Linked DNA regions of Oryzias latipes. The protein of the gene in region 2 purifies or fractionates together with the protein of the main gene of each other region. This does not show direct contact. Links are inferred from orthologs where the notes say so. Each region holds a gene or a part of one and is shown on either strand. Other genes may lie near its edges. The genes, in order: syndecan-2-A, pdpk1 and wdr5.

What was found.
Region 1: the proteins of pdpk1 (region 2) and syndecan-2-A purify together in Homo sapiens (affinity purification with mass spectrometry; 4 studies listed by BioGRID and IntAct, counting the BioPlex papers as one, with this or other methods). This does not show direct contact. The link is inferred for Oryzias latipes from reciprocal best matches to the Homo sapiens genes PDPK1 and SDC2.
Region 3: the proteins of pdpk1 (region 2) and wdr5 purify together in Homo sapiens (affinity purification with mass spectrometry; 4 studies listed by BioGRID and IntAct, counting the BioPlex papers as one, with this or other methods). This does not show direct contact. The link is inferred for Oryzias latipes from reciprocal best matches to the Homo sapiens genes PDPK1 and WDR5.

Annotation. Positions count from the first base shown.
Region 1 is NC_019869.2:20,677,746-20,681,337, reverse strand, and holds part of syndecan-2-A, read right to left. Parts: intron 410-3,592; coding exon 298-409; intron 63-297; coding exon 1-62. UniProt on the Homo sapiens protein: Cell surface proteoglycan which regulates dendritic arbor morphogenesis.
Region 2 is NC_019877.2:9,278,187-9,282,577, forward strand, and holds the start of pdpk1 (3-phosphoinositide-dependent protein kinase 1), read left to right. Parts: upstream 1-1,586; 5' UTR 1,587-1,774; coding exon 1,775-1,798; intron 1,799-3,560; coding exon 3,561-3,851; intron 3,852-3,985; coding exon 3,986-4,028; intron 4,029-4,125; coding exon 4,126-4,263; intron 4,264-4,367; coding exon 4,368-4,391. Other genes in the region: ribosome biogenesis protein TSR3 homolog, read left to right, coding at 224-278, 604-718. UniProt on the Homo sapiens protein: Serine/threonine kinase which acts as a master kinase, phosphorylating and activating a subgroup of the AGC family of protein kinases.
Region 3 is NC_019870.2:23,025,005-23,029,258, forward strand, and holds the start of wdr5 (WD repeat-containing protein 5), read right to left. Parts: upstream 2,815-4,254; 5' UTR 2,624-2,814; intron 1,988-2,623; 5' UTR 1,964-1,987; coding exon 1,883-1,963; intron 1,688-1,882; coding exon 1,579-1,687; intron 424-1,578; coding exon 350-423; intron 228-349; coding exon 138-227; intron 1-137. Other genes in the region: bromodomain-containing protein 3, read left to right, coding at 3,180-3,203.

The DNA.
Region 1 (3,592 bases), on a different chromosome or scaffold from region 2:
CTCCACAAAGACCATGCTGGTGGTCATTGGTGCCTCCTGCTCCTCCTCCTCTCCTCCGGCACCTGTAAGGAGAACAGCATCCAACCGTCAACCTGCATGTGTGCAAACCAAACTTCTGATCACAGACCTTCACATTTAGTGGATAATGGTTTGAAGTTTGGATCTGGTGTAGGTTCAGACCAGTAGAACCTCAAAATGAAGCTCGTCTGCAGAAGAATTGCTTTACCACAGCTGCAGGAATTAAAATAACTACAGAGAGGGTGAGGAACAAGCAAACAAAAAAATCTGCTACTGTACCTGAGCCAGATCCAGAGTTAAAGTCGTCGTCATCTTCAGGGTAGACACCTCCTGAGCCGGGCTCCTCCAGGAACAGGTCATCCGATTGTGAGGAGGCCTGAGCTGCTGCTCTCTGAAAACACACAGAAGAACGTTCAGGGAGGACCGTCAGAGAAACGTGGGACAAAGACCTGTCCAGGATGTACCCCACAGTGTCTCAGCCCAACAGTGGCTGAGATAGGCTCCAGCAACCCCGCAACCCTGACAGGGACTAAGCAGGTTCAGGAAATGGATCCATTTTTTATCACTCTTTTAGTGATCATTTAGTTAAAAGAATAGAAATCATGTTTAGTCTCTTTCAAAATATTCCTAACACAGCAAAGGAACAAAAAAATGATTGCATTTTAAATTCAGTCCAAATTTGAAGAGTTTATTCAGAAGAGGAAGGAAGAGCCACCAATTCTAGCTATTAAAGTCCTTCCTACAATGTTTTTCTTCTCTTTAGCAACATCTTTGCAGTCGGCTCAGAAACAAAGATTTACTGTTTTCCCTCTGATGGGCTGCAGACCAGCAAGGGGGGGGGGGGGGGGGGGTCACCCAGATGACTTTAATGTTTCTCACATGACAGGCAGATTGTGCAGTCGCACATTCGCATTCACTGAAGCCACAAACTCTCCACCAGAACTAATCCCGCTAAGTCCTGCACAACAGCAGCACGGGAGGAAACTGCTGCTCTAAGCTGCCGATGGAGCAAATCAGGAGAACATTTGGTCCAAAATGTTTGGCCGTCCTGCAGGAACGACACAATGACGCCACCAAATAACCATTGGATGAGGCTGTGAGAACATTAAGAAGTCATTGAGGGTCCGTGTCTGCTGTCTGAGCAGGAGAACTATAATGATATTTCTAATCCTAGCTGTGAGCTGCGAGAACTTTAGGGCTGGTGCGAACTTTAGGGCTGCGAGAGCTTTAAGGGCTGGTGTCGCTTGAGTCGCGGCCCACGAGGCTTGAGTCGCGGCCCACGAGGCTTGAGTCGCGGCCCAGGAGGCTTGGGTCCCGGCCCACGAGGCTTGAGTCGCGGCCCACGAGACTAGAGTCGCGGCGGCCCACGAGACTAGAGTCGCGGCGGCCCACGAGACTAGAGTCGCGGCGGCCCACGAGACTAGAGACGCGGCGGCCCACGAGACTAGAGTCGCGGCGGCCCACGAGACTAGAGTCGCGGCGGCCCACGAGACTAGAGTCGCGGCGGCCCACGAGACTTGAGTCGCGGCCCACGAGGCCTGAGTCGCGGCCCACGAGGCTTGAGTCGCGGCGGCCCACGAGACTTGAGTCGCGGCGGCCCACGAGACTTGAGTCGCGGCGGCCCACGAGACTTGAGTCGCGGCGGCCCACGAGACTTGAGGCGCGGCGGCCCCGGGAGTTGAGTCGCGGCGGCCCACGTGACTTGAGTCGCGGCGGCCCACGAGACTTGAGTCGCGGCGGCCCACGAGACTTGAGTCGCGGCCCACGAGACTTGAGTCGCGGCCCACGAGACTTGAGTCGCGGCGCACGAGACTAGAGTCGCGGCGGCCCACGAGACTAGAGTCGCGGCGGCCCACGAGACTAGAGTCGCGGCGGCCCACGAGACTAGAGTCGCGGCGGCCCACGAGACTAGAGTCGCGGCGGCCCACGAGACTAGAGTCGCGGCGGCCCACGAGACTAGAGTCGCGGCGGCCCACGAGACTTGAGTCGCGGCCCACGGGGCTTGAGTCGCGGCTCACGAGGCTTGAGTCACGGCCCACGAGGCTTGAGTCGCGGCGCACGAGGCTTGAGTCACGGCCCACGAGGCTTGAGTCGCGGCCCACGAGACTTGAGTCGCGGCCCACGGGGCTTGAGTCGCGGCTCACGAGGCTTGAGTCACGGCCCACGAGACTTGAGTCGCGGCCCACGAGGCTTGAGTCACGGCCCACGAGGCTTGAGTCGCGGCGCACGAGACTTGAGTCGCGGCCCACGAAGCTTGAGTCGCGGCCCACGAGGCTTGAGTCGCGGCCCACGAGGCTTGAGACGCGGGGCACGAGACTAGAGTCGCGGCGGCCCACGAGACTTGAGTCGCGGCGGCCCACGAGACTTGAGTCGCGGTGGCCCACGAGACTTGAGTCGCGGCCCACGAGACTTGAGTCGCGGCCCACGAGACTTGAGTCACGGCACACGAGACTTGAGTCGCGGCCCACGAGATTTAAGTTGCGCGACTGTTTGTGCGACTCACAAGACCATTATAGCACTGAGAACTCAACTCACTCTGAGATCACCTTTCAAATTAAAATGATTTTTCATATTTTGTTTTTACATAAATCCTGATTTATTTTGGATTTATTTTTATCTTAAGAACATTTTCTGTTCTAGTTTAACAGCTGCCTGCCTAATCCACTATGAATCTCCCTTTTACAAGTTTCCTCGGATCGGACACGTCTTCAGCAAGTTGACAACATTATCAACAGAACATCATTCTCTGTTAAATGTTTGCAGCTGACAGACGTCAAACCGGAGGCTAGCTTTAGCTGCGTCCGACTTTTAAGGTGTGATGGATAAATAAAGCAAAAATAAAATGGAACAACAGAATATAAATATCATTATAGAAATGAATCCAAAGTGTCTGCATCTTTATTATTTGTGCATTTGAAATATTAAAAAGTCAGCAGCCACATATCAAACAAAGCTGTTTCGTTTTTGAGAAGAACTGTCTCGATAAATCCATTTGTCGCGGAAAACTCCTGCTTTTGTGTGTAAATCGCAGCTTTGAAGTTGAAGACTCTTATTCGTTTTCCTCATTGACTCTTTTTACTTTTTTGTTTGATTTTTCTTAGTTTTTAAGCATTAAACTACTAACTTCGACCAGCTCCTTAAGGTCATGTGACAGACAGATGAGGTGAACGGAATCCGGTAGTTTTTCAAAATAAAACTTCCTTCAGTATCAGAAAATAAACAAAACGGACATAATCAAAGTCAGCCTATGCATTTTCTTTCTGTCTGCAACCTGGTACTAAGTGGCTCACGGACCGGTACCAGTCCACTTCCCAGAGGTTTGGGACCATCAAACAAAATTTTCAATCATTCACATCAGATAATTAACATCACGTGTTGCAAGGATGCACCGTTTTCTCTCCCAGCATATTATTCTTTTGTCGAACACATCTGCAACAAATATGTGAACCTTCTGGAAATTACTGGGATTTGGGGATCAATTGGACATTTTCTGATTCTAAAACACAAGAATAGAAAAACCAAGTCCAATTAAACAAAACTTTAATTAAACACAATCTGTTTGTATTCCCACACT
Region 2 (4,391 bases):
AATGTGTGTTTGAATAAGACTGACTGCAAAGCAATTTAAAAGTCTTTAAACCATTAAAGATTTACCACCGCTATAGTATTTTTGTGTTAGGGTAACAAATTGCAGTCTTTCATTGTTTTGTTTTCATTAATATTCAGAAAACAATTAAAAGTTCAAGTCTTGATCTCTGTAATATTTAAAAAAAATATATCTAATGAAATGTGTTAATCTTTCTTGTTTGCAGATCCATTTGATGTTAATTCTGGGGTTGAATGTATGAATCTCAATCGACGTCAATGGTAAACACCTACTTTTGTTGATAAAAGGAAAGGCTTGTTTGAATTTGGGTATCTGGCTGATGTGGAAAACAACCCTGGTCCTCATGATCTACATCCCTGGCTGTTTTCCCGGCACTCTCCCTATAGCTGCTGATCAGGTGTGTTCAGTCAATCGGAATAAAGTCAGAAACCAGTGCAGAGAGAGCTGGAAAACAGGGAGAGTGGTAGGTCTCGAAGACCAGAGTTGGGCAGCCCACGCTAAGAAAAGTTATAGTTACTGTTGTTGGGCACTGGGTCCAACAGTAAAGATGGATCAGAAGTGATTAAAAATAATTTCTGTGTTAAGTGCTCCTGAGGATGATGAATCGGGTGAGGACAGCGACATGTCGGAAGATGAAGATGAAAACGAAGATGGCGATGAAGATTCAAAAACATCCTGTAATCAACAAGAAGAGGACTGAATAAAAATATATTTAAAAATGTTTCTTTTGAGTCACCCTAACTATTTGGTAAACATTTTCTACAGTTCAAATAATTTTCAGAAATAGAATTTACAGTATCACAGAGAATCAATTTACGAACTATTTTAACTACATTCTAGGATATTTATTTTTCTTTTATAAACTGTGGTATCTAACGCAAAGGAAATGTAATGAATTTTGCAAAACAGATAAGATTGTAAATGAATGTTTCTGCAGAATGAAAATTTTCAAAAAAGTGGGTAATGTCGGTTCTTTGCTGGGAATATAAGGTAGTGAAGATAGTTTGCCTGTATACCTTCAAATTTAAAAATAAATGTAAAACATCAAGATCCAGAAAAACATTTCTTTGGACTCATCTTTAAGATTAAACAAAGTAAATGGAGTTAGGGTGAATTAAATCTTATTTAAGTTTTACAAACCTTACTTTTTTTTAAATATATGGTAAAAAATTGTAATCAACTTTATATTTTTAGGCACTTGTATATTGAAAGTTATTAAATGTCGAAAAACATAACTGGCATTATTATGTGTCATCCATTAATATAAATTAGTAAACAATTGTAACTTTCTGCATTTGCTTGTATGATAAGAGAAATGCAAAAATAATGCGTGTATTCTGAATATATACGTTTGATTTGTTTTTATCTTTATTTCAGTTTAATAGAATTAGAATTAAAAAAAAAAAGTCAGGTTTCAGTTTAATAAATACACAAGACGCAAAGACTGTCAATAAATCCTCCCAAACTGCGTGAGCGGCGCTTTCTTTCTCCTTGCAGTTAAAAGACCTCTAAGCTCGAATAGTTCATAGGCCATAACTTATTTGAATATCAACAACCGCTCCTATTTCACTTCAGCCTTATCTGTGTGGAAGGCTGTTAATGTGGCGGGGGCGTACACAGCAGGACTCTCCTCTGCTGTCCTGCGGTAACATTGTTGTGGAACGACGTCACAGCTCAAAAATGAAGGCGCAGAGGCAGCCATTACTGGAGCTTCTATAATTATTTTATTTCACATAAATATTCGCAGAAAACTCCCATGGCAAGAGCGACAAGTCAGCTGGTAAGTGTGGCTATTTAAAGAACAGTAACAGTACGTAGCCGGCATTGAAAATGTGCTGAATGGCAGCTTTGTTGTAAGTAGTTGCGCTGGGCCTTCATTTGAAAGCAGGGCTAATATCTTTTTCGCCTTACGCTTCACTAGCAAGTGTTAGCTTCCGAGTGTTGGCTAACAAAACACTTCGCGTTAAATGTCCTTATCGTGGTTGTTTAACATTTTCCTTGATTACTAGATAAACGTGTTTCGATTAAGCTCTGATAGGGTACGTTTATATGTTTGATATATTTGTTTTCAGGCTTTTTAAGACGACTTTCTTCGAACCAGCCACTGTTTGCTAATGTAAGCTTGGATTCGCGCTTCTACTTACCGACTCTGCCTGCTAGCAAGCTAATGTTAGCTTCAATGCATTCCACCTTTCGATAGAAGAGAGTTCTCTAACGATAACATCATGGCATCTGATTGTCAACTTTATAAATATGATATTCATGCGGACATTGTAACTTATAACGAGAGGGGGAAACATTTTGTCATAAAGGCAAGAGGTTTTTCAGTTACTTGTCTTGGCTTGTTTGCTATCTTTTAGCTTACTTGCTGTTAGCGTCAAGTTTGTAACTTGCTGTCAGTGATGGCCGGCATTATTTGACAAGGTAGCAGGAGCTAATGTTAGCCTGCTAGCAGGCTTTGGTTGGGGAAGAAACTTTCCATAGGAGAGTTCTTACAACAGTTTTTGGTTATGACAATTTTATCAGACCGTGTCTATCATTAAATACACGATTGCCCATCTGTAAGAGACGAGTGAATAGAGGTTAATCTGAACTCTTGATTATGACATAGTCAACTCCGGAATAAGCAGCTAAATGGCCACACCTTGTTGCTTTTGAATGAGTAGAAGCTAGGCCAGATAAATTGATCAGCGCTTATTGCCAATTAACTACATGTTTCATTCATTTCACAGGTTACATTTGTAAAACGAAATCGTTTTAAAGTGTTATCATACTTGCTAAATGATTATACACACAGTGGCTATCAACTACTACGATTTGTGATGCAACTTAATGAGTTTCATTTTGTGTTCTAGTGCTCCAACGCCTGGTTGATTATATACTAAATATACCATATTCATTGTCATTGTTGTAAAAGCTGCTGCCACTGAAAATGGAACTTTACAGGTTTTTACAACAAAAGCATAAAGTTTCTATGTGTATAGCTATCAAGGTTGAACTTTGCCCTTCGGTAGTCTGACATGAAATACTACTTATTTACGAAATCCTGCTAACATCTTTATGTTACATGTAACAGATGCATACTTCTGTTTTTTTAAAATATGCCTACTTTCTGAAATAGTAAAGAAAAATGCTCTATTGGTTGTAAATGATGTGCATTCTGCCCATTTCAGGGGGTGAAGCATTCTTTAACTTCCTTTTTTTTTAACAATAATTTTACAATAGTACATATACTATCTTAAAATGTTAAAGTACTAGGTTGTAAATGCAAAGGTATCTTTGACCTGGACAAAAAAAAGTTTCATTCTATTAATACATATTTTAAATGACATGTAAATGGAGATACCTATAGTCTACTTAAGGGTCAAATCAAGTGTTATCTTCATACATTTCTCAGCAAAAAAATGCTTATTTAACTAAGTAACAACTTAATATTAGGTTTTTAAAATATACTTATTAATTTTGTCTCAAATAATAGAGTATTTTAACTTCAGTACTCCATTCCTGATATGTATTCTCCTTATTTTCTTGTCTCATTTCAGTATGATGTTGTGCCCATTCAGCCCAACGTTGTCATCTGTTCCTGCTCACATCCATCAATGGTAAGAAACCACCCTGACTCCTGCTCGCCACTTGCTATCCCAGGCGCAAGCAGCCGTCACTGCTCCGGTATGGAAGGCCCAGCTGCAGAGGCTTGTGCTGTAGGAGCGCCTGCAAACAGCCAGAGCTCAGAGGCCTGCAAGCAGCCGGCCATCCAGCCGGCTCAGCCACGCAAGAAGAAGCCAGAGGACTTCAAGTTTGGCAAAATACTGGGAGAGGGCTCCTTCTCAACGGTATAAATCTTTAATTTTATCTGAATTATATTATGATAGATGTTGCTACATGTTAGGATTCTTTTGATTTAATGGCAAATGGGGCCTAATTGTAACATTTTTTCAATATTTTCTCATTTGTTTCTGGTTCTCAGGTTGTCCTTGCAAGAGAGCATGCCACAGGCAAAGAATTTGCAAGTTAGTAAAACGGATTATCTTTCAGCAAATACTTTTGATTTATACCGTTAATAAATGATTGTACACTTACCAATGTTTTTTTCTTTTTTTTTACTAGTTAAGATTTTAGAGAAACGCCACATTATGAAGGAGAATAAAGTCCAGTACGTGAAAAGAGAAAGGGATTTGATGTCAAGCCTTGATCACCCATTCTTCGTCAAGCTCTACTTCACATTTCAAGATGATGAGAAGTTGTGTATCCTTACAACTGATTTCTGAGAGTTTTTTAAATGAGAATCTTTTAAAGATTTGGGTCTGTGTGTATTCTTCAAAGCATGTTTCTTAACTGGCGTTCTGTAGATTTTGGGCTCAGTTATGCTAAAA
Region 3 (4,254 bases), on a different chromosome or scaffold from region 2:
ATGCTTGTACAACCTTTTACCCAGATGTCATTACTTAGGAAATTAAAAAGGGGAAATATACTAAATTAAAGGGTAAACAAGAATAAGTGCCAAAAAAATACGTTTTGGCTCCTAGAACAAGTGCAGAACCTTCTTACCGAGTTGACATCCCAGATTTTCAGGGTTTTGTCGTCTGATGCAGACACCAGCAGGTTGGAATCAGAGGACCAGGCCACATCAGAGATGCCCTGCAGGATCATGGGAAATAGTTCAGACACATAAGAAGGAGAAGGGCGCTTCTAAAATCTATTCCTCCCACAGGAAATCCAGAGAACATATCAGAGCAATATCAGAGTACAGTTTTACTCACAAGTTTGTGTCCAGATATGGTTTTCTCAAACTTGCCATCATACGCTCCCCAGATCTTGATGAGTTTATCAGCAGCTGGAACAAGAGAACATCAGTCAAATCTATGAATTACTGTCATCACATCAATTATGAAGCCAACACTACACACAAATGTAACACAGCATACAAATTGATCCAAATGACAAGTTTAATACATCTGATAAACAGAAAACTATATTTACTAGATTAGAACATTCTACGTTTAATTCTAATTTGGTTCTAGTTTTCTCTGATTATTTCTCCTTGACAAGTTCATTTTGGGGCTGGGGGCCTCAGTGAATGTTAACTTCTTAGTTCAACGTGTTCCCCACCTCCACAGCACAGAGGCACAGTGACGTATGTTAGTTGGATGGATTATGGGATATTGGAGCATCAGTGAACAGCACTTTATAAGTTTCTATTTTTTGGTTTTCCCAACAAAACTAAACACTGTTGGTTCAGAAAATAAATCATCATCAGTTTCAGCATGAAACTGTCACACTTTACCATCTTTAGCTGATATCTGTCAGTTTATATCCTCGAATTCCAACATTATTCTGCTGATTTAGAGTGATAATTACAATGCGTGAAGTTTATTTGTACTATATTCTACTATATTTATAAAGACAACAAATATGCCCAAACATTGTTCTTGAAAAGATAGAAAGATTTCCAAGTATTTGGATGCTGGTTACAGCCCTGGCATTGTCTTACCCTTTCACCCACCTATTTCATCTCTGAGACTAACTCTGGAGGCGGATCGGAGAATGGAACAAAATATGACACCATGGTGAAATGGGCCTTTTAAAGTCCAACGTCAGGGCAAAAAGCCAAAGGGGCAGAAAGGAATAACACTACTAAAGTGGCTTTAGTAAAAAAATATATATGTACATAACTACTTCACATGTTTTGTTCTAACAATTAATCCGAAAAATCATTTGAAATAAACTCAAGATTCCTAAATGTTTGTTTTTTTTCTCTCTCTTTTTTTTTTTACTTGTCCTGTCCAACAGCTGGGCAGGTAGATGAGAGCTGACGGCCTCTTGTTTAGATTCCTAAATGTTAACATTTTGTAAACTCTACATAGTTTTTTTTTTTCATTGAGTAAACTCCCTTTGAACAGGGTCAACATCAACCAATATAATGGTTTCATGTTGAGTACATTTTGAGACATTCATTGCTTAAAAGCCACACAGAGGAGGATGAACTCACATGAGCTGGCGAGCCATTCTCCACTTGGACTGAATTTGACAGAAGACACGGCTTTGGTGTGTCCTGCTAACGTGAACTTCAGGCTGTAGTTTGGCTTTGCAGGCGCAGACTGTGGGGGGGCACATTTAATGCCATTGGTAAGATAGAAAAGAAGTACATATCAACTCTGCTAAAACAAAAACCAAAATGCATTGTTCACCATTTAATCTTGTATTAATTGGAAAACAAAAGAAACAATTGATGCAAAGCTGCAGTTGCACAAGAACACGGCCCAGAGTACTCAGTCATTTTCTTATATCCAGACCTTGCTTTGGCTTGCAGATGCTGACTGCACAACTGGAGGTTTTGTGTCAGTCTCTGGTTTCTTGTCTTCGGTTGCCATCATGAAAAAAATAGCATCTACTGAGCACTGCAAGGAGACAGAAGAGCACACAAGTATTTCAAATTACATGCTTGCACAGCCCCTTCGTCAAATTTATTATACTCTCGTTTATAGTTTAACGTGTTGTAGAAATATTTTGTTTATTAAAAGGTAAAGTTGATGCATACAATTGCAATGTAGATTGTATAGCCGTATTGGCTAAATTAAGCGTTTACAAATTAGCTCGATGGCTAAAAATTTTAGCTAGCTCAGTTAGCTTCGGTACGCTGACGTATAAAAACTCTTTTTTCTTAACTGGCAAAACAAAAACATCGCGAAGTGGCATTTGATGTACATTAAAGTCAGCTTCCACATTTTTAACGTCAAAATGTTTACCATAAAGAAATAATAGGTGAAAACAGCATCATATAACAAAAGCGACGCGGAATACCTTCCTTTGGCGCAACTTCAGACAGACTTTATATATTTGTACTTGAAAAAAAGACGCGTTGCATGTTCAAATGGATATGAAATAGACGTTAAAAAATATAAAGTGCTAGATGTTCAGGAAAACTATCAGCACTATGTACATGCGGTCACTTGTTTTTAGCTATTGACAACCTGCCACAAAAGCGGCCCTCTACTCCTCAGACAATGAAGATTTACGCAAACGCTCATACTTACAGAAACGTTTTACAGATTCACCTCCAGATTTTTTTCCTCCACCGAAGAAAACACGATTAAAACCAGTCTGTTTTTTCGTAATATGATCCTAAACTTACAAAAAACTAATCTACCTGCCTCCTTGTATACGTTTGGCTGCGAGAAAACCAACGAAGAAACGAGGGAATGTAGTGTGCCAGTGCAATGCGCAGGCGCGTCACACACAGAAGTAACGGAAACCTGTGAGGATCAAGTATCGATGGCACGAGTTAGAATAAACGTCACAAAATGCAGTTTTCCCTTAAGACGTAAACATTTTGCAATTAATATTTCAATTTACCAGAAAAAAAGTTAAGTGAAGCAAAATATATAATTCTCTTTTGATAATAGTATTATCAAAAGAAAAATATGTCAGTGCAAAATATTTGCGTTTTTTGCCAAATGAAAACAGTGGACACTCCAGAACACTAGATGGCAGTATTCCCCTTTGACTTCTGGGCTGACGTGCCCAGACAAATAGACACGAATTGAATTGCCAGCCATGTAGGTGCAGCAGGTCGGGAGAGGAAGTTAGCAGATGGTGACTGACTTCGCCGTGGAGGTACTTGAAGCGCATACTTTTCTGTTCAAGCTTCGGTGTAAAGTTTTACTGTTTTTGAAGAGGAGCATTGCTTGAACTTTTATTCCAATTTAACAATACGAGTTGGTAAACAACTTGCCGCTACCCTCCCTTCCCGTTAGATGATGATCGGAGTTTTTTCTCGAAACGGATTAAAAAGAAAACTTAGGTGATTTTTTTAAATTGCTTAAATACCTGATATATATTATGACTAGTTAAAATAAAAAAGTCAGACTTTTTTTTCAATAACATTTTATAGCAGCATTTTTAGGTGTTGCAGAGTTAAAGAAATAAAGGATTTTCGTTCACCACCAGGCAAGAAAAACATTTCATTTGTGCACAGACTAGCTAATTATGATAGCTAACACGTTGGACGTTTCTTGACCTCGAAGAAAATATTGGTATTCATTTGCATTGTCTCTTCAGGAAGTCTGTGTGGTTTGACAAATAATTTTTTACAATAGTTGTTGGAAGTAACGTTTTGGGGACTACGCCTCCATCTGCTAGGATACAAAGCCCTTATTTAACTGAGTAAAACTTTGAGAGTTCGTGCACACGTGAAGCATTTCAGTATCCAGTAGAAGGCATTCCTCGCGCGTGTCCAACAACAACAGGGGTTCTTGTGGGTTAAAGTGATAAAACACGCGGTTTTTGTCACGTCCGCCCACTTCCGCCTGGCACGTTCTGCAGTTCTTAAAGACCCTTTCTGAGGAATGTGAAGGAGGGAATCTGCTGCAGTGGTTTTGGTTTGCTTTCATGGAGCTGTAGCTTCCCATGTTTACATTTTTAAGTTGGTTAATTACTCCAAAATTCACTTTTTATTTGTGGTTGTTTTAATTTTTATTACATTTTGCGTTTTTTGATCTTCTGCATAGTGGAAACATTAAAAAACAAACAAAACAGTAATAGATTACAACATTCATTATTATATTAAGGATGAATTAAAAAAGCATAAAATATCAAGGGCTGAGATAACTAAACAATTATGTACTTATAAGTTTACTACATAAATGAATATATTAAGCTGTAAGTT